Ovis aries: one gene and its partner. The protein of the gene in region 1 binds, or shares a complex with, the protein of each later gene. Links are inferred from orthologs where the notes say so. Each region holds a gene or a part of one and is shown on either strand. Other genes may lie near its edges.

Evidence for each region.
Region 2: LAMTOR4 (region 1) and LAMTOR3 share a complex: the UniProt entries of both Homo sapiens proteins name them as parts of the ragulator complex. The link is inferred for Ovis aries from reciprocal best matches to the Homo sapiens genes LAMTOR4 and LAMTOR3.

Annotation. Positions count from the first base shown.
Region 1 is NC_056077.1:36,674,021-36,690,106, reverse strand, and holds LAMTOR4 (ragulator complex protein LAMTOR4), read left to right. Parts: upstream 1-6,368; 5' UTR 6,369-6,423; coding exon 6,424-6,426; intron 6,427-6,918; coding exon 6,919-6,999; intron 7,000-8,831; coding exon 8,832-9,134; 3' UTR 9,135-9,297; coding exon of another isoform or gene 9,298-9,395; 3' UTR 9,396-9,627; downstream 9,628-16,086. Other genes in the region: TRAPPC14 (trafficking protein particle complex subunit 14), read right to left, coding at 10,476-10,629, 10,742-10,935, 11,146-11,300, 11,818-11,981, 12,086-12,168, 12,315-12,462, 12,566-12,686, 12,842-12,928 and 3 more; GAL3ST4 (galactose-3-O-sulfotransferase 4), read right to left, coding at 14,868-15,890. UniProt on the Homo sapiens protein: As part of the Ragulator complex it is involved in amino acid sensing and activation of mTORC1, a signaling complex promoting cell growth in response to growth factors, energy levels, and amino acids.
Region 2 is NC_056059.1:25,112,636-25,128,679, forward strand, and holds the start of LAMTOR3 (ragulator complex protein LAMTOR3), read left to right. Parts: upstream 1-9,198; 5' UTR 9,199-9,290; intron 9,291-9,591; 5' UTR 9,592-9,628; coding exon 9,629-9,637; intron 9,638-12,543; coding exon 12,544-12,578; intron 12,579-14,822; coding exon 14,823-14,881; intron 14,882-16,044. UniProt on the Homo sapiens protein: As part of the Ragulator complex it is involved in amino acid sensing and activation of mTORC1, a signaling complex promoting cell growth in response to growth factors, energy levels, and amino acids.

The DNA of each region.
Region 1 (16,086 bases):
ATAACAACACAAAATTAATGTAAATACATTAGAAAGATGGGAAGGAGGAGCTAGCTAGTTGCATCTTCTTTTCCTGAAGACAATGCTTCCCAAATTCCCTGTTTGGACCACGAGTCGGCTGTGGTCATTGGAACTTGGGCAGTGAAGATGCACACCATTTTCATGCCTGGCATCAAAACATCTCATGCAACCTTTTGTTCTCTGTCTCTGTCTCTCTCAGCTCACCAGTGTGCTGAGTGCGGAGGACCCAGTAGTGACCTCTGGGGAGACCCAAGGGGACAGTGGAGTTGCAGGATGAAAGGGACCTGGGTTCCCATGTGGCAGCTTGCAGGACAGCAGTGTAAAAGCCTGTTCCCAGACACTAGCGGGACTTCAGGTGAGTTGGAAATAAACTTTACTTGTGTCAAACAGCCACTGAAATTCCAGGGCTATTTTTATTACTGAGAAAAATAGAAATGTCAAAAGGTGATTTACTAGGAATTACTAGTGTTTTCATTTATGTTCAATCAGGAGAAAAAGAAATCACATGTTAATCTGAACAGGGAAAGTTAATGTAAAGAATTATTAACTGTAACAGTGTTCTGAAGAACACTGGTGAGTTCTGGAGTAATTCTTAACCTTACTAATTCACTCTAAAGTGATATCCCTTCTGCTATGTATTCCATCCACTGAGTATTCTTAAAGAATATTTCCATTTGCAAGCTCGCTAATGGGTTCTCTGTAGGGTGTAAAGAATGCAAAGTAACATACATGTTAATCAAAATAAAATTGACTCCAGGAGGGATCTAAGTGTCTGTTCCCACATGGCAACAAAACAGCAGGAAAAAGTGGAATGAAGAAACACTGGTTGGCACTGCACTCCCCCACCTGACATCAGTAGGGCAAGGTGTGGACCTGAACTTGCACCTTCATCTGAAGGCAACAAGGCCATGAGAACTGGTGCTCCACTTACACCAGGGTGGCACTGGCAGAGCCCAAAGGGATGACACATAGCATTTGTAATATACACAGTTTAATTTTTCAAAAATGTAAATACATATAAAAAAATAATATCCTGTGAGTGCTCACTGAGCTTCTTGACAGTGAGTTCCTTGAAGATGAGGACCTAGTGCACCTTTGAAATTCCGGGGTCTACCTCAATACCTAGCACATTGCTACCTACAAAACTTTTTTCCTATATGCCAAATTGTAATTTATTAATTGCCAAGGATAAATATGTTTCCAAGACTTACAAAGGTGTGTATAATTTGGGGCACCATTTTCTTGATTTTAAATAAGGCCATTCCTTTAGTTAGGGCTTGGAGAATTGAACAGTTTCCATTTAAGCATTCACCTCTAGATCCCCAGAATCTATGCTGAGTTGCAAATTAAATGATTTTTTTCCTACATTGTCCTGGCTTTTCTCCCAGGACTTCCTTCTAGTTTTTAGTTTTTATTTTGGCCTCTGGATCTCTAACTCTGCTCTTGCCCTTCTTTTGAAAAGGAGGGAACAAATCCTGACGTGTAAAATAACATATTTTCATCCATCCCAGAGGCAGAGCTGGCCTGCTCCTTCCTGTCTGAGTCCGTTGCCAAAAGATCACAATACCCCCCCACCCCTCAGCCTAGCAGAGCCTCCTGACTGGAAACCACGCATTCTTTTATTCACCCTTAACTCAACCCCTCCCAGTGCACACGGCTTGTCCCAGAGGACTGAAGGGGCTCATCTCTCAAGTGTTACTCTTACTACACTTCACGTGACTCCGCGCCTGCCTTGTTCACTTGCAAGCTGAGCACTCACAGCTCAGGGCTGTGTGTTTTCACCATTTTATTCCCAAAGCACATGATGCTTACCCTGTAGTCCTTGAAAAGTGCTGGTTGAACTGGTGTCATCAGGGTGAAGAGAACCGAGAAAGGCAGAGTTGATGGCTGTTTGATAGGGTAATAATTGGTTCTAGGAAAATAAGAGAAAAGGAGGTTGTGTGTGACAGGCAAGGAGGTCTAGTTTCAAAGCAAACGACGACTCCCCAAAATCAGAATCAAACAGAAAAAGAATGCAAAGGGAGGCAGCAAAGATGCCAAACCCACAGGAACCAGCCATAAGTTAACCACTGTGTTAGTCAGCGTTCTCAAGAGAATAAGGGGATGGGTTTGGTGGGAGAGAGCATATTTAATTTGAGGAATTAGCTCACAATATGTGGGGACTGGTAAGTCTTGAATCTGTAGGCTAGGCCAGCAGACTGGAAATTCAGGGAAGGGCTGATGTTGCAGTTTTGAGTCTGAAATCTGCTGGGCAACAGGCTGGAACTCAGCAGTGTTTCTGTACTCATGCAAATAGTTACTATGGTGCCTGGGCAGGGTGGGCAGTTTCAATCAGTGTGCTTCCCCTAATATTTCTATGTAATTAAATTCTTGATGAGAATTTCTTCTTCTCCAGAAACCTCAGTCTTTTCTCTTAAGACCTTCCGTGGATTGGATGAAGGCCATCCACATCATGGAAGCTAATGTGCTTTATTCAAAACTGAATATTTTTCCTACCTTAAAAGCACCTTCACAGTGTAGGGGAGGCATTTTTTTTTTAACCTCTACCCTCTTAGGGTTTTCAGCTGGGCCTGAGAATTAACTTGACAGAAGACAGATTAGCAGGAGAAAAGCATACAAATTTACTCAATACAAGTTTTATATGACATGGGAGCCCTCACAAGGAAATGAAGACCCAATGAAATGGACGAATCTACGTGCTTTTTATAGCAGGTAGAAGAAAAAGAGGCAACTGAGGAAAAGTGACTAAGCTGTGGGGAGCCTAAGGAAAGATAGAAATTATTTCAATAAGGTCTGTTTTAGAGAATTCTCTAGCTCTAAGTCCTGTAAATGGAACTCTGCTCTGCATAGCATTTCTCACTGGTCAATATACTTATTTTCTTATTTATTAATTTATTATCTGGGCTCACCCTCTGCCCCACGGCTCCTTGAAAACAATTTAAAAAAATGTCTTATTTGTATTCACTGCTATTATCTCTAGTTTCAAGAACAGTGTGTGGTACATAGAAGGCACTCAATAAACACTGGTTGAATGAAAGACTTTGCTCCCTTCATAAGTAGCATGTTTCAAGCTGTTTGTGAAAATGAAACAATTCTAGCAATGGCTGCTGAGCATTGTCCTGTGAAAGGTTCCTCTGTGTCAAGAACAATGAGAACCGGCAATTTCTGAGGTAAAATCAAGTGTAACTTCAAAAAAAAAAAAAGTTGGCCAGGGGAGCAATGGAAAAAGCATCAGCCTCAGCAACAGCAGACTTAGACTGGAATCTGGCTGTCATTTGCCAGCTGTGTGCTATGAGCAAGGCTCAATCTCTCTCAAGTTTCCACTTCCTCATCTATATAGTATCTTGGGATATTATTACAAAGATGGTTAATGAGGGTTTGGCCAGTGTATAGATGAAAATGCTTGGAACCAGTGTGTGCTGAGAAAAAAAAAAAAGATTCCACAAGGCCACGGAAGGTTTTGCAGACCAAGCATCTCCACAGAACTTTCTCTCTCTAAATCCCCTTCCAATTTAAATTTTATATTATAATCATACCTGATTTGTAAAAAGGCATCCATCTTCTCTAACTGGTTTTCTCCTCAAGCAACAGCACTTAATTTTATTGATATGATTCACATACTGTAAAATTCACCCTTTTAAACTGTACAATTCAGTGGTTTTCATTACATCCACAAGGTTGTGAAACCATCATAACTCTGTAATTCCAAGACATTTTCATCATCCAACACACCTGTTGGCAGTCACTCCCCATTTCCCCCTCTGCTCACCCCCCGGCAACCACTAATTTGCTTTCTGTCTCTATGAATTTGCCCAGTGTAGACATCTCACAGATACACCCAGATGATATGTGGCCTGGATTGTCTGAGTTCCTTCACTTCAGGTCAGTTCAGTTCAGTCGCTCAGTTGTGTCCGACTCTTTGCGACCCCATGAGTTGCAGCACGCGAGGCCTCCCTGTCCATCACCAACTCCCGGAGTTCACTCAGACTCAAGTCTATCGAGTCAGTGATGCCATCCAGCCATCTCATTCTCTGTCATCCCCTTCTCCTCCTGCCCCCAGTCCCTCCAGGCATCAGAGTCTTTTCCAATGAGTCAACTCTTCTCATGAGGTGTCCAAAGTACTGGAGTTTCAGCTTCAGCATCATTCCTTCCAAAGAAATCCCAGGGCTGATCTCGTTCAGATTGGACTGGTTGGATCTCCTTGCAGTCCAAGGGACTCTCAAGAGTCTTCTCCAACACCACAGTTCAAACGCATCAATTCTTCGGCGCTCAGCCTTCTTCACAGTCCAACTCTCACACCCATACATGACCACTGGAAAAACCATAGCCTTGACTAGACAGACCTTTGTTGGCAAAGTAATGTCTCTGCTTTTGAATATGCTATCTAGGTTGGTCATAGCTTTTCTTCCAAGGAGTAAGCATCTTTTAATTTCATGGCTGCAGTCACCATCTGCAGTGATTTTGGAGCCCCCCAAAATAAAGTCTGACACTGTTTCCACTGTTTCCCCATCTACTTGCCATGAAGTGATGCGACCAGATGCCATGATCTTTGTTTTCTGAATGTTGAGCTTTAAGCCAACTTTTTCATGCCATGATCTTCGTTTTCTCAATGTTGAGCTTTAAGCCAACTTTTTCACTCTCCACTTTCACTTTCATCAAGAGGCTTTTTAGTTCCTCTTCACTTTCTGCCATAAGGGTGGTGTCATCTGCATATCTGAGGTTATTGATATTTCTCCTGGCAATCTTGATTGCAGCTTGTGCTTCTTCCAGCCCAGCGTGTCTCATGACGTACCCTGCATAGAAGTTAAATAAGCAGGGTGACAATATACAGCCTTGACGTACTCCTTTTCCTATTTGGAATCAGTCTGTTGTTCCATGTCCAGTTCTAACTGTTGATTCCTGACCTGCATATAGGTTTCTTAAGAGGCAGGTCGGGTGGTCTGGTATTCCCATCTTTTCAGAATTTTCCACAGTTCATTGTGATCCACACAGTCAGCGGCTTTGGCATAGTCAATAAAGCAGAAACAGATGTTTTTCTGGAACTCTCTTGCTTTTTCGATGATCCAGTGGATGTTGGTAATTTGATCTCTGGTTCACTTAGCATGTTTTCAAGGTTTATCTGTGTGATAGCATAGATCAGTACTTCACTCCTTTTTACAACTGGACAATGTTCCATTGTATGGATATGCCGCATTGCTTTATCTGGTCTTCAGTTTATGAATATTTGGGTTGCTTTCCATTTGGGGGCGATTATGAGTGATGCTGCCATAACATCTGTGTACAAGTTTTTGTGTAAACATAGTTTTCAGTTCTCTTAGGTATGTATGAAGGAGTGGAATTTTTAGGTCCTATTTAACTTTCATTTATAAATATAGTAACTCTATTTAACTTTCAGAGGAACCACCAATCTGTTTCCCACTACAACTGCACTATTTTACATCCCTACCAGCAATGTATGAGAGCCCCAATGTCTCCAAATCCTCATCAAGCTTTTTTATTAGTTTATCATCATTTTGCCTCACATTAATATTGCAGCAGGTCTAAAAACTACTTAAATTAAAACAAAAAATTTCTAAATGACACTCATATATTTAAAAAATTACCCCAAGGTCATTTTCTAATTATTCCTGGCAGAGAATATTCAGTATTGCAGCTGCCTTGGCTGCTGCTGCTGCTGCTAAGTCGCTTCAGTCCTGTCCGACTCTGCGACCCATAGACGGCAGCCCACCAGGCTTCCCCGTCCCTGGGATTCTCCAGGCAAGAAGACTGGAGTAGGTTGCCATTTCCTTCTCCAATGCATGAAAGTGAAAAGTGAGAGTGAAGTCGCTCAGTCGTGTCCGACCGTTAGCGCCCCATGGACTAGGGAGGTATAATGCTCTATCACACAGTTTCTTACAGAATCCCGGGACGAAAAATCGCTTTGGAACAAATTCCTGTCAGAGAGCTGCCTGAAGTAGGCACAAGAGTAGCATCTGAATAGCTCTCTATCTACGTCTTTTGGCTCGCTCAGGATTCCACTTGCGAGCCACCTAGCCTTGTTGGAGTCTGCCCCCGCCGCCCCCGTGTGCGCAGGCGCAAACTCTCAGCCCGGCCTCCCTCCGGCCCCGCCTCCAGACCCGCCCCCCGCCGACACGCCCCCCTCCTTCGCGCTCTGGGGCTAAGGGGAAGGGAGATGAATGTTCAAGAGGATGTGCGGCCAATGCGCGAGCGTCTCGGAAGCGGCGCTCCGCACTGGCAGAGTAAGTCTGATGACGTAGCCACTCTCCAATCGGCATCCTGGGGGCGGGACTAAAGTCGGGCAGGGCAGGGCCGGAGGAGGAGACCGCTGGGTGGAAGCACGTGACCGCGGTCTGGAGCCGGAACTAGGTCTGGCTACAAGCTCCCCCAGCACCTAGAGCTGCGATGGTAAGTGAGGACGCATGCGCGGAGTTACGCGCCGCGCCGGCGGTTCCTTACCCCTGTCCCCCAATCTCTTTGGTTGCGGGGTCCTGAGCGTGCCCTCCGGCCTCACCTCCTATTCTCCCTGGGACTGGAAGGAAATGGAGAAGGGAGGGGTGGTGACGTAGAAGGCCAAGGAGAAGTCGCTGGGAGGGTGTGTAGAAGCTGGGGACTAGTCTGAGGGGGAGGCGCAGGCCACAGGTGCGTTTGGGGAGGGGGCCCTTGGGGTAGCAAAGGTGACGTGTGGAAAGCTGGTGGCGCCCGGGCGGAGGAGAGGACTGACGGAGGCTCAGGAGCATCAGTGTTGAAGGCCGTGTAGAGGGAAGAGGGTCTGGAAGGGCCCTGGCTGGGTAAAGAGGCCTGGAGCGGGGGCAGGGGGCACTGTCAAGAGAGGCACTCTGGTTGCCCAAGGGCCATCCTTTCGGCCTACTGCTCACTAATTGCATCTTTACCCACCAGACTTCGGCACTGACTCAGGGGCTGGAGCGAATCCCCGACCAGCTTGGCTACCTGGTGCTGAGTGAAGGCGCGGTGCTGGCGGTGCGTTCTGGAAACGGGAGGGGGGGTGCTCCAAGTACACATGACTCTAGGATGCCTTCTAATGTTGCCCTGTTTGGCCCGATTGGTCTCTGTTCTTGTCTTTCCCTGGTATCACGCCTGGCGTGTAGGAATTAAATCAATTAATCAATCTCTGGACTCTCAGTCTTGTAACTATCCTGAGGTAAAAGAGGTTTACTGACTTTACCAAAGTCAAGCAAGTTACAGGTTTGTTGATAACTGACAATCCCCAAGTTACTCTTGAGTATGTCTTTATTTGGTATTTATTGAAGAGGCTTGGTATTTTGTTCTGTAGTACAATACAGTGTCAGCTCTAGAAGTTTTCAATCTAGCTAGAGACAAGGCTTAAGGCTAAAAGTTCAAAGTAGTGCATGTGGTTAACGCAGCTGAAGGAGTCCAGAAAGTGAAGGATTCAGCCCTTCATACTATAACTTGTGTTTTGGCAAGGAACCTTCCTTGGACGAGGTAAGAATTCATCTGGGCTTAAAAGATGGATGGATGACAGGAAAGAAAGAATATTCAGAGTTGGGAGGTGGACATTTTGCAGGAGTGTAACACCAGCCTATCTGAATTGGTGATGGGGTTATGTTGAAAAGATTTGGAAACATTTGGGGGAAGAAGAGGATATGGTGAGGAAAGGTCCGATTGTGAAGGACTTTCAAGGCTAGGTTAACACATTTGGATTAATCTTGAAGGGTTTTTGAACAGAAACAAGCTGATGAAGTGATTGAGTAGCATTGTTCTGTTAGGCGTAAAGGTAAGACAGAAGGGGCAGGATTCAAAAGCGGGGATGCTGTTGCCAAAATGTAGGTATGAAACCTCTGGTTGCAATGAGAAGCAAGGAGAGAAGGGGTTTTTAAAGGAAGAATTGGTTTGTCTTTGTAATGACTAGAGTTCAGTAATAAAGGGGATACTTTTCTATCCTGTAAGACTTTGACCTCAAGCCTAGAATGATGGTGCCTTAACCAGCAGGGACTTAAGAAAGGAAGTTGACTGGAGAGGGGGAGAGATAGGGGGGATTTTGATAGTGCAGCTTTAAACACTAAGTTTGATATAGAATAATAGGGTAAACTCCAGGAGTTAGTGATGGACAGGGAGGCCTGGCATGCTGCGGTCCATGGGGTTGCAAAGAGTTAGACACAACTGAGCAACTGAACTGAACTGAATAGCCGTTAAATAGATAATGCCAGGAGCTAATCTGAGCATCTTGCCCCAGTACTCTTGTGACACTCACAAGCACGTAAGATAGGTACTGATGTCCCCAGTTTACAGATGAGGAAACAGGTATAGAATCCAGCAGGAGGGCCACCTTGAGGAGGTAAGAAGTTGAGATCATTACCAGAAAAGAGGAAGCCCAGGCCACTGTGACGTCATTATTCAAGGGCCAGGTAGTCCGAAGGGGTTCAGAGAGAAAAGGGATGTTTATGTTTCAGGTTCTGCAGACAGGGTGACAAATGAGAAATGGGAAAAGATGGAGCCTGGGACTCTAGCTGTGGTGGGTGGGCACTAATCTGTAAGAATGTGATTTTTTTCAAATAAGTGGAGACAGGGAGAGAAATGAAGATTCAGGGATTGGGGAAACAGGGTCAGTAATGGACAGAAATGGATGAGAGTTCCTACTTCCTCAGGGAAGCCCAGTATTTTGGAACAAGATGGCATCAAGAGGGGCAACAATATCATAGGAAAGTTTTAAGTTTTTCCAATACTAGGGGTGATGTTGCAGTGTTGGAAAGTGGAGACAGGTTACACAGAAGGGTTCTTGGAGTTGCTTCCCAGTCTGTCCCTGATTCCTGCCCCCCTCCCTCTGTGTGCAGTCATCCGGGGATCTGGAGAATGACGAGCAGGCTGCCAGCGCCATCTCTGAGCTCGTCAGCACGGCCTGCGGTTTCCGGCTGCACCAAGGCATGAGCGTACCCTTCAAGCGTCTGTCGGGTGAGCCCCGGCCTCTGGTAGTGGGGAAGGGGGGTGGGGTGCTGCTCCCCAAGGCCACTCTTCTCAGGGAAAGACACCTGTCTCCTACCAGCTGCCCACCATCTCCTCTGGAATCCTTGTCTTCCCTGTGGTATTTACCCCTGTATCAGAACTATGAGAAAAGCAAGAGAAGGGAGGGGATTTAATGGAGACCTCCCATCTTCTAATCTCTGAGCTTTGACCTGTTGAATTCCTTTGGCTTTGGATCCTAGCCAGTTTGTGTGCGACCCCCACTGAGGCCCCCATAACCCACTAACTCTCTGCTCCCTTCCCTCTCCCGGGCTGGGGGAAGGTGCGTCTCCCCTCCAGTGGTCTTTGGAGAACACACGCTGCTTGTGACCGTGTCGGGACAGAGGGTGTTTGTGGTGAAGAGGCAGAACCGAGGCCGGGAGCCCATTGACGTATGAGCCTGCCCGAGGGCGAGGGGCAGAGGAGGAACCTCTGTGCTGAGAAAGATGGGAACCTCCACGGCCTCTCTCTTGGTGCCACTAGAACTAAAGCTGTCTGCTCACCGGCTTCCCCACCCTGACCTGGAAGGGCAGAGGCTCGGGGACTTTGTACTCTGTTAAGGACAGTGAAGGTGAGGGGACCTCCCTTCTTTTCACCCTGCCTAATAAACATAAGTGTGATGTTCCTGGACCTGGGGATGTGTTGTGTGTATTGGGGGAGGAGAGTCATACCCCATGTGTCTTTCAGCTTCCGGGCCCTCAGCCCAGAGGCGTGGGGTGGACAGATAAAACTGGAAATCAGAAGAAAAAAAACAAGTGGGAAGGGAGCTATTTGGTGTACAGGCTGGAGGGAATCTTTCTGAGCCCTTAGGTCTCTGCCGCTGCCACCAACACACAAGTAACAGTCTTTTTCTCCCTCCTGAACAGGCATTTAATAGTCTTATTTCAGTTGGAAGCAGTAGTTGGAGAATAAGTTACAGGGACAGACAGACCAAAAAAAAAAACAAAACCCAAATCAAAAATCCCACACAACTTAAAGTGCTTCAGGCTGCAGACGTAAACATGAGGACGAGGGGAGGCCACCTAGCTCTCTCCCCTGACCTGAGACAGGAGGGTCGTGTCATTGTTGGGTCCCTTTACCATCACCACCCTCTGATCTCAGCCCTGCGGGTGGGAGGGAGGGAGGGAATGTCAGAGGCGGGGAAGACAACGTAAGAGGAACAAGGAAAACACTTTGTAAACTTAGAACCAGGGTGCAAGGCGGGGGGCAGGGGAGCTCCTGGAGCCACTGCCCTGGCCAAGGGGTGGGGCCAGCCCCCCCAGGAAGTCCAGGAAATACTGTCGGCTTCACACTGCAGCCATCCCCGGCCATTTCACAGCTTCTTCCCTCGTCCCTCATCAGTAGACACAGACAGGCGGCTCTGTGGGGGGCCCCCTCACCCTTGGTGGGAGGCTCCCCGGGGAGGCACAGCCTGCAGGGAGCACCCGCGCTGGGGGCTGTCCATTTCCCGGAGTGTGAGAGGGAGGCGGCCGGATGGTTTACTTGACCGGCTCCACCACCAGGACCTTGCACTCGCGTTTGGCGATCTTGTCCAGAGAGAGCACAGCCTTGTCCGGGGGCAGGTAGAGGGGGCGGCCGACAGGGGAGGCCACAGGGGGAGTGATGGCCCGGCGCTCCATCACACTGCCCGACCTGGAGGAAAGTGGAGGCTGTGGGCTCTGGCCGGACCCCAGGGTCCCGTCCTCTCCCTTCCCGATCCTGGCCTCTACCAAGCCCTCGGGGTCCTCCCCATGCAGTTCCATACCTCATGAGGTGGCTGCGGGAGGGCTGTTGGTGGGAGAAGGACTGAGAGCGGCCGAGGCTGGCCTGGTGCCTCTCCACCAAGTCCCGGACGGCAGGGCTGCTGGGGCTGCTCTTGCGCGAGAGGGGTCGGGCCTCGGGTGGCGGGTGGGACACGCTGGCAGTGAACTGCAGCTTCAGCTTCATGTGCTGGCTCAGCTGGGGTGGGGAGACACAGATCACCGGCCAGCTCGGCTGCCAGGCCCCCGACCCCCTTTCAGGTCATCTTCCCCACGTGACAGGCCGAAGTCAGATCTAAAGCCCACCTTCCCTCCACCCGGCTTTGTAGCACCCACCCATTTATGCTTCAGCATAGAAGCCAGCGGCCCTGACCCCTCCCACCCCGATGCTAGGCCTCACCCAGCCCACCTCGAAGAGCCCAGTCCGCAGAGCCTGGAAGGCCACGCTGAAGGTGAGCGCGCTGCCCTTCCGGGAGAAGCCGAGGTTGTTGAGGGGTGTGTGGCAGACGATGGAGTCCAGGGCTGCCTGCATGGCCCGGCGCTCCTCCTCACACAGCTGCTTTCCTGAGGGGCAGAAACAGGGCCGGGAAACAGCTCTGTGCAGCCTTTCTCAGTCTGCAGAGGGCTTTCATGAGCACAGTCTTGCCTGATGCTCGGAGCCACTCTGTGGAGTAAACTGAGTATATGCTATTGTTTGCTAAACTTTATAAACAACAGTAATAGTTACTGTGTACTGAGATCTATTCTAACCACTTCACACATATTAACTTACTAAATTGCTATAACACCGCCATGAAGTAGTATTTCCTCCATTTTAGAAATGAGAAATCTGAGGTCAGAGAGGTTAAGTAACCTACTAAAGGTCACATAGCTAAGAAATGGGAGATATTCAAGTCAAACAGGGAACCCAGCATCAGTGTCAGTGCCCTTAAAATCTCTGCCCATGGCCTCTCTAAACTCTCCGTTATGACACTGTGGAGACCATCCAGGTACACAGCTGACGCAGCCTGGCACAAGTCACCTGCCTCCATGACATCTTCCTTTGCCCTCTCCTCCTTGGGCAAGCCTGGCAGCTACCTACCAGCCTGGGCGTGCTCCGGGGTCCACACGAGCCTTACAGCAAGGAAGTCTTGGAGATTGTTGAGCAGCGTATAGGTAACAGTGAAACGCTCATAGGTCCGAACAGGGGACTCACAAGAAGCAGTCATCACAAAGCACGGGCGGTCCAGGCGGATGCTGGGCAGGCTAGAAGCCGTGAGAGAGAGGAAAGCAGGATGTGTGTGTTTCGAAACAGAGATGAACAGGATGGTGTCCAGCAGGGAGCTTGGGGGGGTGTCCCACAAACTCACCGGTAGTGGGTATAGATGCTCTGCGTGAAGGGCAACTTCGGTGTGGACCACTGAACCACAGCAATCAGGGGAACCTCTAGGCCCTGTTGGAGGGACAAGCAGAAACATCACCTGTATGTGATGACCTGAAGGAGAGGTTCCCTCTCCCGTTAGTCAACTCCCTGGCCTCTCTCTTCCCATTGCATTTTCTCAGCCTTTCTCCTTAAACACACCAGTCCCTTGTACTCACCTCCTTGGCCCCTGGAGGGGGCTGCTCACCCGCTCTGAGCTGAAACAGGAAGTTATGTTCCTCCAGGGCACTAAGTGGGCAGGGGAAGCAGCCAGAGGTACCAGGGAGCCGGCAGAAGGAGCCCATGGAGACTTCCCCAGATTGGTGACTAGTTGAGAAGAAAGGGACCAGAGCTGAACTTTCCCTGCCAGAGCCCTGGGCCCTGCGACCATGCCCAGCACTCTGCGGCCCCGCCCCTCCCAGGACCTCACCAGACATTGTCCACCAGCAGCACAGAGCCGTCGGGCATGACAGGTAGATAACTGGCATTGAAGTTTGGGAGAATGCGGATATCCCAGACAGAAATTTCCTCCTGGGAGGAGCTGTTCAGCACTGTGGGAGGTAACCAGCTCAGCTAAGAGAATCTGAACTCCTCAGACCACACCAATTCCCCCCCCCTAAAATGGATCTATCCCCACCATATTGTCCAGGGCCACCCAGCCAGTGCCCTTGCTGCCACCCAAGACAGGAGCCTCTAGTCTGCTCACCCTTGAGCACCGTCAAGTGTTTTCCAGCCACAGTGAACTGGCGGCACTTCAGAACCGGAGGGGGCAGCAGAGTCAGCAGGGTGCTCACTGCAGGAGAGGGCGGAGGCTCCAGATGACGGACTGGGCACACCTCACCTCCAACCCACGGGTCCAGTCTTCCTCTCCTCGGATCGGGCACTTGCTGGTGTCACCCCCTCCACCGTCCCCACAAAATTCAGACACTAGCAGGTCCTGTCTGCATTCTCCTCCCCACCTTGGGCCTTGAAAGCGCTCTGCTCGCCCCTGAAGGTCTCCCCAGGAGATCGAGTCTGCAGCAAGCGCAGGTAGCCTTGATCTCTGACCTCTGGTGCCTCAACCTCCCGCTTCCACACGGTTACTACAATCTAAGCACAGGGGACACGGGACCACAGTCAAGAGAAACAGCCTCAGAAAGGGCGTCTCAATTAAGACAGAGCTCCACCCCGTGCCAGCCTTACCTTGGCTTTAGGTGTCCCTGGGGGCAGTCTATCCAGTGAAACGGTGAGTGGGAAGATGACCTCATCTGTGGACACAATTGGTTCCTCCACAGGCAGCTGGGTTGCCAGAGGGGTTGAAGAGGTCAGGAGAGTCAAGGCCGCCCGCCGCGCCCGCGTCCCCTTTAAGACCTACGGTACGTCGTTCTCGCCCTCCCCTCTCCTCATCCGTCATAGGCCTCCAGCTTCCCGCTAGCGTCCCTCTCCCCTCCGATCTTGGGAGCCCAGCAAACCGCCCCTCCGCCCTGTGTCGTGGCGCTCTGGGCTCCTCACCGTGGTCGCTCCCCCTGAGGTAGCAGGGCCCGGGCCGTGGGTGAGGAGGGGGCTGCAGCCTCGAAACAACCCCCCACCGCCAGGGTCCCCGCCCCCCGGGGGTTCGGGATCCTGGTCGCCCGAGCCACCGCCCCCGGGCGCCCCGCCTCCGGCGCTGACCGAGGCCAGGGCGGCCAGGGCGGTCGCCAGTTCCGCCCAGGCCCCTCGGGAGCCCAAGCCTGGGCCGCCCCCGACGCCGGACCCCGCACCGCCCCGGCAGCGCAGCACCAGCAGGAAGCGAACCGTCTCCCCTAGGTAGAGGTGGTTGCGCCGGGGCAGCGCCCGGTACCGGCCCGGGTCCCCCGCCAGCTCCGCGCGCGGCGGCAGCGGCACGGCCGGGAAGTACATCGAGTAGTCGCACTGGGACTCCATGGGCGGCGCGGGCCGGGGGGCGAGGTGGGCCGGGGACGGCGCAGGGCGGAGGGGCCGCTAGGGTGGTTCCGGGAGCCCCAAGTCCCGACTGGTGCTGCGCGCGGCCGGCCCGGCCCGACAGACCAGCTGGGGCCAGGAACCGGGGCAACAAACCCGGAACCGAGACCCCACGGGGCCGGAACCGGGGTGCGGGACCGAATGACTGGTGAGAAACCGGAAGCGGAAGGGAAGGGGCGTGGCTTCGGAGGCGCCGGAATTTGTAGGTGGCTGGACTTTGGAGGAGAGAGGGGGGTGCGGCAGGGGTTAGGCTGCTGCAGAAGGCTAGGGTTCTTGGACTACGGAAAGAACCCCCGACAACCCCGTTTCTCCCAGGAAGATGCTCCATCCCCTTCCCTTGCCGCTCTAGAGCAGGTCGAAGTTTCAAATTGTTTATTCATTGAACTTTTCATTCATAGTGAAATGAGCATAGCCCAGTAACAAGTGTTTCATAGAGAGGTGGACGTATTATTCCGATCCCTTGTGTCCCAGGGTTTCTCTGTCGTACTCCATGGTTAGCTCCTCCAGAAGGCCTTCGAAAGTGCGGCTTGAACCTTCAGGGATGGGGGTGGGAAAGGGGAAGGGGCAAAAATGGGAGGGAGCCTGCTTCTCGGTCTGGGATTCCTTGGCACGGGCTGGAGGATGTAGGACCCATATTCTTGCAAAGTTCCACTGGTCCTCTGGGGAGCAGACATGCTTTCTGAGGGAAGCCGAAAGGGCATCTGGCTTCCTCACACTCATCACTGGCGCCCTATGGCTTAGCTGCTCTTCAGCCTAAGACAGTGGTTTGATGCCTAGGGGGAGGGTCGCCTTGAAGTCTTGAGGGGCAGAGAGACTGTTGGGGGGAACTGCTTGGCATCTAGCTTATCCTTGTACTGCAGCTCGGGGGTAGCCAGGCGCTCACACTCCTCCTGGTCTTGGAGGCTCAGCCCACTGCGGAGCACATAACCCAAAACCTTACCTGACCCAAACTGGAAAGGGCGGAATCGCCGGTCAGTGATGTACTTGGGGTCTAAAGCCTCACCCCCCACCAGACAGTGTTTAGCCAGGGCCTCTCGGCGAGCCCGGAGCTCTGCCACAGCACTGTCCAGCCGGCTCTGGCCATACTGCTTTATCCGGGCCCACAGACTTCGGTTGAAGTGAACATAGAGAGCCCAGTCCAGGTTGTTCCAGGATCGTGCCCGGGCAGTCAGCTGCCTGTCCTCAGTGGTCAGTCCACCATCGTCAGTGGTGCTTCCGCCCTGCCCACCTCCAGCCTGGGCGTTGTGCATAAAGCCCACCACATCATCTAGACCCCAGCACAGCGCATCTGCCAGCAGGACCAGTGACTCATCAAAGTACTCGGCCACCAAGACCAGGTCAAAGACAGAGTCCAGCCAGGCCAGATTCCACTGGATGAAGGATGAAGACCCCAAATCTAAAGAGGCAGGGCTGGACATCTGGCTGTGACCATCAGCAACAGTGGGAACAGGATGGAAGAGAGCATTGGGATCCAGGGTGTGGGCTGGAGGGCCAGCGCCAGAAGGCAACTGGGGAGGGTTGGGGTCTCTGGAGACACGCGAATTCCCTCTCTTGGTCCTCATCTCTGGGGGGAAGGGGAGGCCAAAGTCAAACCATAGCAAGTTGCGTGCATAGTGGTCCCCCCGGGCCCCGGGTCTGTAGAAGGCTCGAGGATTGGCCAAGAAGGCAGCCAAGGATGGTGCTTTGCGGAAGGCTGATGATGTGGATTTATAGTAGGAGAAGGCAGAACGGGCCAGAGCCGCTGGGTCTCGGACAATGGAAAAGAAGAAGCTGTCAGAAGGCATGACCTGAAGTACCTGGGGAGGAGAGGAAATGGGCATAGAGAGAGTGAACTAGGGAGGAGGAAACTAAGAGCAAACCCAGTGTCCACTGACCCCCCCGGCCTCTTCCAGCCTCCTCCTGACAGCTCTGCTGGGAACTCCCAGCTTCCTTCATTAGCTGCACAGATCTTGGTAAGGTACTTGACATCTCCGAGACTCCATTTACGTATCT
Region 2 (16,044 bases), on another chromosome or scaffold:
ATTTTAATGATTTTGCTTTCATACTCATTTAACAGAACATAAACACATCTTTGGTTTTTTTCTGTGTGTGGAAGAATGCTAGTTAGAGCATGGTGTTCTTTTATTTAAATCTTTTTTTCCTGAGTATAATTTATATAGCATATGTTGAATAGAACTTCTGAAATGACCATTCTTTTTTAAATGTTCTCTTATCAATAGAAATGCCTTGATTGAATTAGTCATTTAACTAAACAAGATACTGTCCTAGGAAAACTGGACAGCTTAACCAACTTTCTTTAGAAATGTAACCTTGAAAAAAAAAAATAGCATGCCTAAAAGAAAATATAATCTAAAATGTTTTCTTCAGCCTATAGAATTTCTTAAAAAAATAAAGTAATAGCATTCTAATTAACTGAAAGTTTGTATGCACCCAAAAACTTATAAAAATTTAAATGAAAAAATTCCATCCATTAATTTTCTGGTTTTAATGGGAAATTTACACTATTGTGATTGATGTTTATGTGAATTGAACTCTTGTTGACTGATTGTTTTTCCCTTAATCCTGATTTTAAAGGAACAGGTGAAGTTATCATGTTAAGTGGTTATATTTTACGAAGTTATACATGGCTTTTGGACAGTATTATATTTCAGTTGCATTACATTAAATTTCATAAAATGTGTTTGATAAAATGTTCAAATGACTTTGGTAAAGCACTGATCGAGTGCCTGACAATTTAAGCTACATGAAAGTATGCAAGTAAAGAGTAAGTCCTTAATGTCACCTATGTCATGATATAAAGGCCTGTCCAAGTAAGTGTCTTAGAATTTTGGGTTAATTCTACAAAGTAAAGTGACCTAATCTATGTTTGTTTGTTTCTGTAATCAAAGTATCTTGAAATGTGAGATTCTCACTTTTTCTGCTCTTCTAACAAAAATCCCAATGTTTTGCCATCGTATTTTTAGCTACCTGAGCTCTCCAATTAAATATGATAACTTGTCCTCTTCATTTTAATCACTGCCTAATGCTTTCAGTCTTTGAATATTGCTTTACTAGCTTCTCTGACTGGTATTTTAGAAGTTTGGAAGCAATTACGTTTATTAATGCTTTACATTTTTATCCCTTTTAAACACACACACAGACATCAGTGTTCTTGCAGGAATTTGGGAGAAGGTAAATAGTATCTTTTCTCCTCCTCTTTTGATTTTTTTGTTTCCCAATAGGTGTTAGTCCTTTGTAAGTTTTGGAATTTATTGTGAGCAAATCTGAGAATTTAATTCTCAACAATGAGAAATGATAAGTGAAACTATGTTTTGGGAACAGACTGCATTTGAATGCTTAAATAAGTATTTGTTTCATAATCATTCCATTCTTATTTATGATCTACAAAGATTTGGTAGAGAAAAGTAAATCCTTAAGGTACATGTGTGCCAGTGCATTAGGCCTCTCTGCTTGTATGTCACTTCAGGTTTTATTGTTAAGAACAGGAAGATAGAATTCCAGCCCTTTATTTTAATTGCACTTTAATGTTTAAGTGTTCTTCCTGTTGCATCTTTAGTTACACTAGCATGTAAAATAGATACTGAGAGAAATGATTAACCTCTTGACTTCCCTTTGTTGGTCTGTAATATTTTTAAATGCAGGTGTTATTTAACAGATGTGACATGTTAATATTACTTAATAATTCATTCAACAGATTTCATTTAAAAACTCCCACCTGTGTAAAGGCAGTGAAATATTCCATAATGTTGGCCTGAGGACCAATAAGCTGTCTTTTTAGTTAAGTAAGAAGTATGTCAAAAGACCAAAAGATTCAAAAGGAGAATTTGTGCACTTACTTAGCTTCTCCATATGAAGCTTGTGTTCAGTATTACTATACTGTTGTCTGTCTTCATACTGAGTAGCCAGCTGAAAGGGCATTTATAATCTATTTTTTAAACAGAAAACCTTCTGAAAATGAATAATAGATATTAATTTTAATCTGTATTAGATAGCTGAACGACTGTCTCTTGGCCACATTGGACTACTGCTTAAAGTTTGTAAAATTCTCTATATAGTCTCATAACGACAGTTTCTGTTTTGTTTTCTTTTTAAAGAACAAGTGCATAGAATGAGCATCTTTAAGAACTCCTGTACATCCCTTTAATCATCTGGCAGGCAATACAGTTGTCAAATTCAGGCTTCCTTTCTGGTTTTATTACTATTAAATTGATAGTTTCATGTAAATGGAAACATTTTCCCTCAAAACACTAGTTCAGAACATATTCCTTATATTAAGGATTATGTAACCACATCTTTTGTAAATTCCTTGTGTGTAACTTTCCTGTTGGTATGTAATTTCTTTTCATTTAATTTTATTATCTGCTGGTTTTGGGGCCAATAGATTTGTGAATATTCTGTGGATGTGTCCATGTATAGGTGTATATATATAGATAAATATATATATATATAAATATATTTTCCAGCTAATACCTCAAATGTGTGATTGTTTAATATATACCACACTATATGTGCACAGTGCAGGGCTTCCACTAGCAGTGGATTTTCTTATTTCTAACTTTGAAAATCAGTCCATAGAATTTCATTGGTGTGGGTTCTTTTTTGTTGATCTTTTCCATATTTTAACAGAGATTCCTACTATAAAGCCCATACTTCAAATATAATTGTATTTTCTATAGCAGTCTGGAAATATGTAAAGGGTAAGAAGTGTTTTTTGCAATGTTTTAGTAAGTTTCCATTAAAAATTGGGATTATTTATTGCCAAACTGGTAATGCATAACAGATGACATCTGGCATGAATGTGAATGTCTCATTCACTTTAGTATAGGAGTTTGGACATTCTAATCTGATATCCTACTTTGCCATTTAATAGTACCACTAAAATAATAGATTTTTCAGTGACATTGGAGTATTTTAAGCATCAATTTTAAAATGAATTGTTTTGGACTCTGGGTGGATGACAGTTATCAGTGAAAAGAAAGAAACTCACACATAAATGGCATTTTTGTAATTTATTTGTATTAAGAAATGCTTCTTACCTTTTTTGTTTTTCTCAGTTTTTGGATTGCTACATAAGAATTTTCTTTCCATATAAAGTTTAGATCATGTGTTTTTTTAAAAGCTGCAGGTAATTTTCAAGGTGTGATGGAATTTTAATGGAAGCCTTGTATAAGTTAAATGAAGTGAAATTGGTAAAGATCTTCTTTGTCTATAGTGCATTCAAAATTATAGTTAGATTTAAAAATGAAATGTCTGATTTGTAAAATATTTAATGTTGTATCAGACTTACATAAAATGAAATTTTCTGTGTGAGAACTCTGTTAAAGAAAATACACTTGATTTTTAATGAATGTTCTGAATGATTTATGATGAATTTTTGTCTTTCAGTCTTTGCAGTTTATCTCAATATATGAATAAAAAGAAGGTCTGTTCTCACTGTAAAGGATTTGTTCTTATCATGTTTTATATTCTTACTATGACTTTTCTTTCATTCATTCAACCAGTCAACAAACGTATGAATATTTGCTATGACCCAGGACGTAATGTGGGAATTAATCACTGAACAAGACCAAAATCCTCATGAAGTTTACATCTAGCAAGGGAAATAAATGTCAAGTAAATAACTACGCATGATAAATGCTACAAAGAAAATTTCAAGGTACAATGAAAGCATGTATCTAGAAGACTTTACTCTGGGAGATTAGGGAAGTTTTCTCTGAGAAAGTGAGTTTAAGCTGAAACCCATAAGATGAGATAAGTCAGAGTGAGGTGAATGCTGGATAAGTATTTCAGGCAGAGTGTGCTGAGTCGATAAGGTCATAGAAACTTTACAGAAGTGAAAACAAACTTGTAAGATTATGACCTAGGGAGCGAGACCAAGTTAGAGAATTAAGGGCCAAATCCCATGAGGCTCTGTGTGTGTGTGTGTGTGTGTGTGTGTGTGTGTGTGTGTGTGTGTGTGTGTGTTCAAAGAAAACCTTTGAGACTTTTAATGAAGGGGTTAATATGATGAGATTTGTGTTTTTGAAATAACATTTTAGTTGCTGTGCAGAGAAGACTGGAGGGTAAAAGTGAATGTAGGAATGATAGGAAGTATTGTCAGGGAGAGATGATGATGGCTTGCACCAGAGTAGAAATATATATATAGTGATTGATTTTGAGATAGGAGGTAGAATCAAGAGAATTATTTGATTGATTAGATTTGGGATAGAGGCAGCAATTTAAAAACTTTGTAAAAATCTGGCTGTGAACAGAAGTAGAGAAAAAGGGTGGTAGCTGGAAGAAGATGTGGTTTCTAAGAAGGCTTTTATTTTTTCAATTACTATTTATTACATGAAGACTTACTATTACATGAGAAACCTTACTAATTCTTTGTACTCTGATGGAAAGGGGCAAGTACAGAGTGAAAGAATAAAGATAGAGAAAAAGAAGGATAATAGCATTAAGTACCTGATACTCCAGAGGATGTTGGAGCCATTGCAAAGATGGAATAATTATTTTAGCTATGTGACACCACCAGCATTCTTTCAGAAAGGAATATACAGAAGATGAGTACAAAAGCAGATTTGTAGCATTAGTGGCTCGATGTTATGGCTTGTATTTTCTTAATGCAATAAGCAATTTATGTAAAATTGGGGAATGGAAAGGATGATAAGCAGACACTTAGAATGAAGACAGTTTGAAGAAATCATTCTCAGTCAGCTGACTAGTGAAAAGGATGATTTCTGTGGCTACCAAACTAGTGACAGAATTTACAGTCTGTTAAATGTTGTATATTTTTTCCAGCTTAACTCAGCAGCCTTGGCATAAATGTGGAGAATACACTTATTTAGTTCATCTAAATTTGAGGTTATGTCAGGCAGGAAAGATGGCAGGGGTGTCTAAGATGTTGACAAGTGAGTAATTGCACTATTAGATGTAAGCCAGAGATCAAGGGAATTAGTGATTTCTGAAGTGACTGATGTGTGACAACAATGGGTGATAGTACAGTAGAGAAAGTTATTGTATAGATCTTAGATTGTATTTTCCACAGACTAAATTCTAAACCACAGGCAGAAGCAAAATTTATAAGACATTTTACAACTCGGCCAGTGTAAGTTATAAAATTTTTATTTTTGTATATTAGAGAATCAGCAAGCCTCTCCTTCCCGTTTGAGTTTGCATACCAGCTAGAATTTTTACACAGCCAGTGGAACCAACCTAAATTCAGATGATTGTTTATTTTTTGATAGGAAACCAGAATTTTTTTAAAAATTGAGAATTAAAGAAAAAAAATTTTTAAGCTGTATTCAACAGCTGAGAGAAATTTAAGCTAAAGAGCAGCAGAAACAAAGGCTCTGATATAACAGTCAGAGCATGTGTTTGTTAACTATTTCCTGTACTATTATGCAAAATAGCAAATTTGTATAATGAGGTAAAAATTTTATGTGCAGAGGCATGCATACAATGTCTGTTTCTTTCTGAACCTCAGCAATCATCTGTTACATCCCACTTTGGAAAACTGGCATATCCTGCTGATAATCTTTTAGGTCAGTAAATATTTCCCCTAGTCCTGGACCAACAGCAGTGTTATTGATGGGTAAATGCATGGGTAAATGCAAACAGATCAGTCTGAGTACATAAGGAGCTCTACTGACATGCCATAATTTAGAAACCACCATGCTTGGAAATTAAAAATCTTACTAGATTTTTCAATTTGCAGACGTTAGTGGTGGTATTTGGTATCTGAAGATCTTGGAAAGCTGTGCTTTCCCTTTTTGTCACTCAAGAGGAAGAAAAAAATCAGCAATGTTTTCCAGGTCAACTAGTATGTAATAATGTCATTAAGATGGATAATTTTGTTAAAATGAAAACTAATGCTTCCAGAAATTAGAAGTCTTGATAGAGTTCATATTTTTATTTGACTCCAAACTTAGGGGCAAACGGAGGGGAGAAACAGTGGGGAAATGAAAAATGAGTTTTAGTCAGGGTCAAGACTAATGACTTCTCGTAATCACTTTCATTCTACAAATGTTGAATGCGTACCTACAGAGTGCAAGAAACAAGCATTGTAAGAAACTGAAAAAAAAAAATTGAAACCATGACCCCTCCTAGACTTTATGGTCTCATTGGATAAGCAAATTAAAGCTATAACACATAATTATGTACAAATAAATATCATTTCTTCTTGGTAATATATAGGAACATTCAAGAGAATGTGATGGATGAGGTGTTATAAGGTAACAAGATTTAAATAGCTAAGGTAGAAAATGAAAGGGTTTAGAACATGCCACCCTGAAATATGCCACAGCAAATGCATGAAAGGCTCTCTGACCTCCCATCTTCACTTAAAGGCTTGTCGTAAAACTTCCCATGAGAAATGCGCCCTCCTTCTACCAGGAAGAGAAGAACATTCTTAGCACCAGAGATGGGACTGACACTGAAATGGACCTGTATAAACAAACCTACTAAAATAACCCTTATCTTCCATTAGTTTATTCCATATGTTTAATAGTCACCGTCATACAATTTACTGCTGTTAACCTAAGCCCCTTGTTTTGTCTCATCCTCACAGTTTATTGTTCTTTGTGTAAAATGGCATATAAATTTTCGGGCCTAATGAAGTTTTGGATCTTCATTTTTCTTCTGAAGACTCTCATGTACATGTAAAAATAGTAAATGAATTTGTATGTTTTGATCCTGTCAATCTGTCTGTCAATTTCATTGTTGGCCCCAGCCACAGAATCTAATCAGGTGTAAGGAAGTTTTTCCTCTCCTACAGGAGAAATAAACATTTCAGATTCAGGAACCCCCACAACTACCTGAGATAATAAGAGTCATTTTGATGGAAGGGTGATATAATCAATTTGGCTGAAAAATAGGATTCACATTAGATTGCATTTACAAGTAAAATGAAATGATTAAAGACTATGTCAAGCATTGTCTGCAATGGTGTGTCACTAAAGATTTCTTTGGTCAGAAATAATATACATTGTTTTAGAAAGGTTTAACTGGGCTTCCTTAAGTGGCTACTGATATAGTCTTGCTGAATACAGTAAGGGTTGAATGAAGAGCTGAAAAAAATATAGATGTAAAAAATCGTTGTTGAGAAAAGGACATGAGAAAGGAGAAGCAAACATGATACCTGACAGAATCATGGAACCAACAAGGACATAGATCAGGAAACAGGTTTACTGGAGTTTTTTAGTACCTTTGGGTTAGAACTGACAGAGGTATGTAGAAATATCCAATATCCAACAAGCAGCTGAAAATATGAACCTTGAGCTCAGAGGAAAGGTGCAGGTTTAGGAATCACATTCTCAGGATACTGTGGAAAGAAAAACAGCAGAAGACTCGAAGACAAACTTTAACAGTGAGGAGGCTGAGTGAGGAACTAAAATAAGTGCAGTGTTCTAGAGGCTAAGAAATCAAAGGAAAAGGAAGTGGTCTTCAATGTCAGTTGCTATGGAACTGTCAAGTTCTCTTATAATGACAAGGAGATCATTTGTAACATCTAGGTGCTTTGTAACTTACCATTTCAACCTCCTAAGGGTAACTAGCAAATTAGTATCTTTCCACCACACCTTGGTCTATAGCTGGTTCCTTTTGCACTTCTATTTTCAGGGATCCCTTGGATTTCAAGGAGCTCAAACCAGTCAATCCATCAACCCTGAATTTTCATTGGAAGGGTTGACACTGATGCTGAAGCTCCAATAAATACTTTGGCCACCTGATGTGAAGGTGACTTATTAGAAAAGACTTGATGCTGGGGAAGACTGAAGGCAGGAGGAGAAGGGGATGACACAGGATGCGATGGTTGGATGGCACCACTGACTCAATGGACAGGAGTTTGAGCAAGTTCTGGGAATTGGTGGACAGGGAAGCCTGGCGTGCTGAAGTCAATGGGGTCACAAAGACTGGGACAGGACTAAGCAACTGAACTGAACTTGATGATCTGTGGAAAAGAAGTTCCCCTAGACCTCATTTTCCTACCAATGTGCAATGTGCAATGTGCAAACAAGCAATGCACCAAATAAAAAATTATAGACAGTTCTTAAAAGTACGGTCTTCTTCACACGTGTACCCCAATGTTCATCGCAGCACTGTTTATAATAGCCAGGACATGGAAGCAACCTAGATGTCCATCAGCAGATGAAGGATAAGAAAGCTGTGGTACATATACACAATGGAATATTACTCAGCCATTAAAAAGAATACATTTGAATCAGTTCTAATGAGGTGGATGAAACTGGAATCGATTATAGAGTGTAGTAAGCCAGAAAGAAAAACACCAATACGGTATATGAACACATATATATGGAATTTAGAAAGATGGTAATGATAATCCTGTATGTGAGACAGCAGAAGAGACACAGATATATAGAACAGTCTTTCGGACTCTGTGGGAGAGGGAGAGGGTGGGATGATTTGGGAGAATGGCATTGAAACATGTATAATATCATATAAGAAACGAATCGCCAGTCTAGGTTCGATGCAGGATACAGGATGCTTGGGGCTGGTGCGCTGGGATGACCCAGAGGTATAGTAGCGGTGGGGGGGGCGGTCAGGATTGGTAATAGGGGTACACCCGTGGCGGATTCATGTTGATGTATGGCAAAACCAATACAATATTATAAAGCAATTAGCCTTCAATTAAAATAAATTTAAATTTTTTAAAAAAGTATGGTCTTCTGAATAAAGAGCCAATGAAAGAAGGTTGCTCCATGTCTGCATATGTAAAAGCTTGATGTACGCACAGAGGAGATCTCCAGAAAGCTCAAGGATCCTTGATTCAATCCAGACAAGTCACAGTACGAGGGTAGCTCCCACGGGAAGCCAAAAGATTAATAAATTACGATCAGAGACCGACGGACCTGGGGCTTGCTGTTCAGTATGTAACACCACCCCCTTTAAATGTATTCATCTACAAGAAGAGGTTTTAAGATAACGGACCACAAGAAAAAAATAATGAAATTTATGCACCCGCCTCAAACAAATACGTTTTCTTGCTTGCGTTTTCTGGGAATCTTCAGGGTTCCGGGATCTCAAAGCAAAGCAATCTCTATTCAAGTGCAGAGGTCTGGGACAGCCTGAACTCCTCACAGATGCAAAAGGAACCCGCGGTGAGTGGACCGGGGCTTATCGCGCAAATGCGCGCTCCCTTGTCGAAGTACCGCCCCGGAAATCCCTAGTCACCTAGCGACGGTGTCTTGAGAAGTGCTTCCGGGAGCACAGAAGAGGTCACAAATCATGTGACTGCGGCTTTTAGAGGAACCTGTCCCAGAAGTTGTCCCTGAAGTGGCAGTTCAGAGAAACAGGCAACCCAGAAACCCAGGTAACTGCAGCCACTTTGCCCGGTGGCATAGGCCGCAAGTGGCACGGGTGGTGAGACGGAAGAGAAGATGCCGCTTTCGCCTCCCGTTTGGGCTTGGATTTTGGGGGTTAGTGGGCTGTCAGGCATCTCGGTTACCCGGCTGAGTATTTGGGAATTCCGACTCCAATCAGCCTCCTTGGCTGGAGCCCTGGAGCCGTGGATCCTTGCCTGACCCAGCGGAGAGCTGACACTGCTTATTAGGTTGGGGGTGGGGAGGGAGAGGAAGTCTTGAGGGGAGAGTCACCCGGAGTTTCTCTTTCAGGCGTGGAGATTGATCCTGCGGGAGAAAGGGGTTCATCATGGCGGATGTGAGTTAACACCCCCATATAAGAGGAAGGAGAGAGTGGAGAGTAGGTTGAGACTACTGGGTGGGGAGAGAGCGCTTCCCAAATACAAATTTGTTTCGTTTTACCGCTTCCCTCCAATTACTTTGTCTAGGATCTGAAGTCAGAGACTAATAGGAGTAATTTTCGGGGCCCTGAGTTTCTGCCTGGAATGGGGGTGGAAGACACTTAAAGGTGCCTGAGGTTGAGACAATTTTATTTTTCCTACGCCCCAGTTCTGCGGGCATAAGACAGATTCTGCATATTTACCATTTCAGTTTCTAAATGATGATTTGCTGCTCTGAATCCTTTTCCAGTTAAGTCTCTTTGGGTTCACTGTAGCAATTTCAGATGATTTATAACCATTGCCTTTTTAACACAGCAATACAATTAAAATTCTAAATTTAGGAAACTTTATTGTACTAGTTTCTGGAAACAACAGGGAATTAATATTATTAATGTTTATATTTGTTTATATTTTACATACTGTTATATTTTTACATACTGTTATTTTGTTTATATTGGAGAAGGAAATGGCAACCCACTCCAGTACTCTTGCCTGGAAAATTCCATGGATGGGGGAGCCTGGTAGGCTACAGTCCATGGGGTCACAAAGAGTCAGACACGACTGAGCGACTTCACTTTCTTTCTATAATTCCTTTTGGAGAAGGAAATGGCAACCCATTCCAGTGTTCTTGCCCGGAAAATCCCATGGACAGAGGGACCTGATGGGCTGCAGTCTGTGGGGTTGCAAAGAGTCCGACACCACTAAGCAACTAACACACACATTTTGTTTATATATACACTAAATATTCTTTGGAACATTGAACAGATACTCATTTAATTATTGCAATAACTTTCATGAGATATGCACTGTTAATCACTGTGTTTATAGATGAAGATGCTAAGTCACAGAAAGATCTAGTAACTTCCTCAGATTACACAGCTAGTTTGTTGCTGAGTCAGGATACCAACCCATGCAGACTCCAGAATCCATGTTCTTAACTACACTAAATGATTATTCAACAGTATGAATCTGATTTTTCTTTTAGGTTGCAGGATTATGTGTTTCAACATTTAGCAACTTTTTATGTCTTTATCACTCCATTTTTGGGTGTCTTCCAGTATATTTTTGAGGCCTTATTCTCCAGGCTTAATCAAATCACTGAATTCTTTTGAGCATCTCCCTTGAAAAGATTGTTCTAATAAGGGCTGTGGGAGAAATAAAGATAACTAAGGTATAATTTCTCTCCTTAAGGATTTTTAAAGGTTAAAAAAAAAGTACAATAGGCAAGTGATCATAGCTATGCATACATTATTGTGTGAAAATTCAGAGAAGAGAGGGATTACATCAGTTTGTCTTTATCAGGGAAGCCTGTTTGGAGTATTTGGTGGTTGAGATTAGCTCTAATTGATGAGTAGCATTTTTTTTTAAAAGTAAGATCTAGAGGGTATTACTATTAATAGTTAGAATGAAAGCATGAGCAAAGTTAAAGATAGGAAACAGAAAGATGTGTGTTGCAGAGCTGTGAATAGCCCATTTCATCTGGAGCTGAGGAAGTGTATGAGCGAGTGGTAGGAAGCAGGACTATAAAATGTGTTGTAGCCCATCCATATTGTAGAGAGCCTCAGATATCTCCAGGATCCGTCCACAATTCGGTAAACAGTGGAGAGCCATTCAAACATTGGTTCTTGATCTTGGCTGCATGGGGAATGCTCTGGGGAGCATTTCCAATACAGACGTCAAAGTTCTTTTTATACTCTGCAAGTGTTGTCCATAGCCAGGGTTGAGAGTCACTGCAATTGTCCATTTAGAGAAGGAGAATTATATGATTATTGGCTTTGTGTAGACATGTGTGAGATAGAAGTGATAGACCATCACACCAATTGGGAGGCTGGTGTAAGTCATAAATATTAAAATGAACCTAAATTGTAATGTCATCCGAAAAGGAGAGGAGAACATCAGTTTAAAAATACTTGACTTCACAAGTGGTTTTTAAAGTGACACATGGGAGTTTAGGGTTATTATATTACCTTAAGTTTCAAAGCTAAGTAACAGGGAACAGTAGTGCCATTAGTGGACACAGGAAGAGATTGAGGAAATCTAGATTTTGGATGAAAAATGATGGGTTTTGTGATTTCGTGTTTAAGATGAGAGCAAAGGTAAGCTGGTGGTGATAGCATGAACTAAAATGAACATTCAGGTTTGGAGAGTAGTAGGAATTAGAGGGTCAAAAGAACATGTATCTGATTTACCTATGTAGAACTCATGATTGCTACCTGGACTGTCAGTGAAATTCCCCAGATGAGAGAGTATAATGAGACAAAGTAGTCTTATAATTTTTTTAGTCATAATTATGTTCCATGCTAAATGCTTGACACACTTTGTCATGTGTCTTTAGTCATGTAAGAAAACTGAGTTTCACGAGGTTACTCAACTTACCTCGGATCTTAAAGTGACGTTAAGAAGTCTGTGGATGTGGAAAAATATTCATAATATATTCTGAAATGAATGCAAAGTTAGCAACAAGATGTACAGTAGTGTGAGAAGTATGATCTAATGCTATAGCTAATATGTATTTGTGTTTCCACTGCTGGATATGCTAATCACTTGACATGAGTGTTTTCAATAAACTTTAGTAACAGTCTTATAATGTAGGTTCTTTAATTATGCTTACTCAGCAAATAATGCAACTGAGGCTTAGAAGCAAAGATTAGTTGTTGCAAGTTACACCACTCCTTAAAGCATCAAAAGCAAAACGAGAAAGACAAAACACAAGCACGAATGGTTGTGAATGAATACTTAAGGTACCTGAGATGTGGATAGGACAGTGTCTAGAGAACCAGTACCAGGCATATTATTATAATAAAATGTGTATACTCTCTTTCAGGATCTAAAACGATTCCTGTATAAAAAATTACCGAGGTAAAAATTACTAATTTGTTATTAGATAAATTCTGCTTAACGTGTTTTGTTTAGTATTTTGTTTCTGTTTATCTTAGACTAATACTATGTTCTGCTGTTATTTAGCACTTTCAAATGGCTAACATAATCTTAGGTAGCACAAGTGATACGGTTTGAGTTTGCAGATAAACAACATGATCCCTAGAGAAGTTACATGACTTGTCTCAAATTAAACAGCTGGTGAATGGTGAAGAGCTAGAACCCAGTTTCTTGCCACTTTAGAGTTCTTTCATAGCAGTTTGCTAGATTAAAAAACCTAGGAACTTGCCTTTATCTTTCATACTGCTTTTAAGACTTAATTGCTGCGCCTACATGGGGGTACACAGTATAGTGATTGACAATTTTTTGCAGTGCAGGAGACTCAGGTTCAATCCCTGGGTCAGAAAGATCCTTTGGAGAAGGAAATGCCTACCACTTCACGGCTACAGCCCATGGAGTCACAGAGAGTTGAATACAACTTTGCGACTAACACTGCCACGTTTTGAGTAGGCAATATATTTATAAAGTTCAAGATGCAAAAGTTAATTGAAGGACACAGAGTGAGGAGTTTCTTAACCCTGTCATCCAGCCACACGATTCCTGTCTCAGAGACACCCACTGTTAACTGTCAGAGATACTCTATGCACCTGCCCATTAAGTTAATAGTGATACTTCTCATTCCTAAGCTAAAATATTAAGCTAATACTTCTCTTTCCTAAGCTAATAACAACCATCCATTTATTTGGGGATATAGTAGGAACAACAAACATTGCATTTTGCAGATATTTTAAGATACAGGCATTCCTCAGAGAGATTGTGGGTTTGGTTCCAGACCACTGCAGTAAAGTGAATATTGAGATAAAGCGAGTCACAATTTTTTCTGTTTCCTATTGCATATAAACGTTATGTTTACACTCTACTGTAGTTTGTTAAGTGTGTAATAACATGATGTCTAAAAAAACAGTGTACATCGTTAGGTAAAAAATACCTTATTGCTAGAAAGTGCTAACCATCATCTGAGCCTTTAATGAGTCTTAATGTTATTGCTGGTGGAGGATCTTGCCTCAGTATTGATGGCTGCTGACCAGTCTGGGAAGTGGTTGCTAAAGATTGGGGTGACTGTGGCAGTGTCGCCTGCATTAGCAGGCAGATTCTTTACCACTGCACCATGTGGAAGCCCAGTATAAATGATGATGATTTGAGTGTTTCCCCATTATAATTTTTAACATTTCGGGGCTCTAGGAATTCTCACTAATAATTTCATATTTAAATTGCAGGGACAAATTATGTTATTTTCAGTGTGTACAGATGACAACATTGGTATTAATTCATATTTTTGAATTTTAATTGTCTACCAGCCACCTTCCACTTTGCATGCATCATTGTATTAAATTTAACAGTAGCCAAAGGCTCAGCAGTAAAGAATCTGCCTGCAATGCAGGAGACCCTGGGTCGGGAAGATCCCCTGGAGGAGGGCATGGGAACCCAGTCCAGTATTCTTGCCTGGAGAATCCCATGGACGGAGGAGCCTGGCGGGCTACAATCCATGGGATCACAGAGAGTTGAACACGACTGAAATGACTTACACACACAAATGAGTACAAGTATCCCCATTTTCATATTAACTGAGGCTTAGCGAGGTTTTGTAATTGATGCAAGGTAGCATAAACAGTAAACACCAGAGCCTGAACGGGAACTCAGGTCTTTCTTACTTCAGAGCTGTGGTCTTGACCATTCTGTTTCCTTCTTGTGTAAGCGTGGTTCAGAGGATTGCCCTGTGACCTCCATTCTTTCTGTCCTGTTCTCTCAGCTTACAGTGATCTCCCCACTCCACTTTTCTTATTACCATAACGTCTCAGCTGAGGTACCACTTCCTCCGGGAAGCCCTCCCTGACCCATCTATCTGAATCTACCCCTCCTTTTATAAGCTCTCTCGTAGCCCCACACATCTCTTAATGGCAGTTCTCACAGTTGTAGTGTTAGATTTGTGTGAGGTAATCTGAACGATAGCCACTCTCCTTTTAGATTGCAAGTTGTGGGAAGGCAGCAACTGGGTCTCTTTTTTGCTTCTTATGGTGGAAGAGTTTTGCAAACATGTTATAGGAGCTTATATCCGTGATTGAGTTCTCATGGTTTTTCAGAAATCTATATGAGAATTATCATTATGATTTTGAAGGTACATATTTTGAGACAGTGTTTTATAATACATCAACTTTTCCTTTCTAGTGTTGAGGGGCTCCATGCTATTGTTGTGTCAGATAGAGATGGAGTGCCTGTCATCAAAGGTAAAACGCCACAATTACATGTCAGTGCCATGTTTGCTTTTGAATACAAATGTGTTTATATTTGGGTAATAGAGAAAGCAAGCAAAAAATAACCCATTTCAGTACATTCAGGTTGTGTGTTGAAGGATAGGTTGGAATCTAATTATATCTCAACTATTTCATGATAGGATGCAGAGTTTAAGTAAGGATTTATTGAAGGCCCAGTTTCCCATTAAAGACATTTTATGTATAATGTAAACAACTAGTAAATCTGAATCATGAGAATGAGCATATATGCAGCGAGACATATTATACCCACGGACTCCCCCAGCATATATTTTTCATCAGTATTGCTGGTGGTTTTAGGATAAACAGCCATACATTTGAATTAACATAAATTTATTGTTTTGTTTACTCTTTCTTATTCTTCCTTATTGGAAATAAGATTTTGAAAAACTTTTAACTTCACAGTTACTTTAGTTAACCAGAATCTAGCAAAAATTTTTGCTTGAAGAAAAGTTGGTTAACCTAAAAAAAAGGAAGAAAAGGTTTCTTTTTGCCTAAGGGTTTAACTCTTTTTTTTTTTTTTAAGTATATGTGATATGACAGAAAGGCTAAATAATGTTCTGCATATTTTGTTTACAATATATTCTCCACCTGAGGTTATCATATATGTCAGATAATTTCAGACTTTAGAATTCAATCAAAGTTTAGAAGTTAGCTAATATAGTTCTTTCATTTTATTAATGAAAATGGTCAAGTGCAAAGAGTAGATTGTCAGCTCCAAGTTGCTCATGAGTCAGTGACAAGATGGTCATAGAACCCATCATCTTCTGATATGTGATCCAGTATGCTTCCTAACCCAGCACAGAACATAGGTAGCCATGGGCAAATCACTTCCTTTTCTCAGTTCCATAACGAGGACTTTGAACAAAATAATCTCAGATTTTCCAGCTCCAGTGTTCTTTTTGAGGATCTCTGTTAAAACCTTAAGCTCAGCACTTACGGTACAACCAACTCCACATAGACCTTTCAGTGAGTATAAAAAACTTAAATCAGTGGCCAGGTGTAGAATTATCATCATCTACAAATGATGCTTCTGTGGGTTTTGTAAGAGCAAAGGTTAAAAGCTTTTTTCCAATATTCTCACTTAGCTCATAGTTAACCAGAATATTCAACTTATT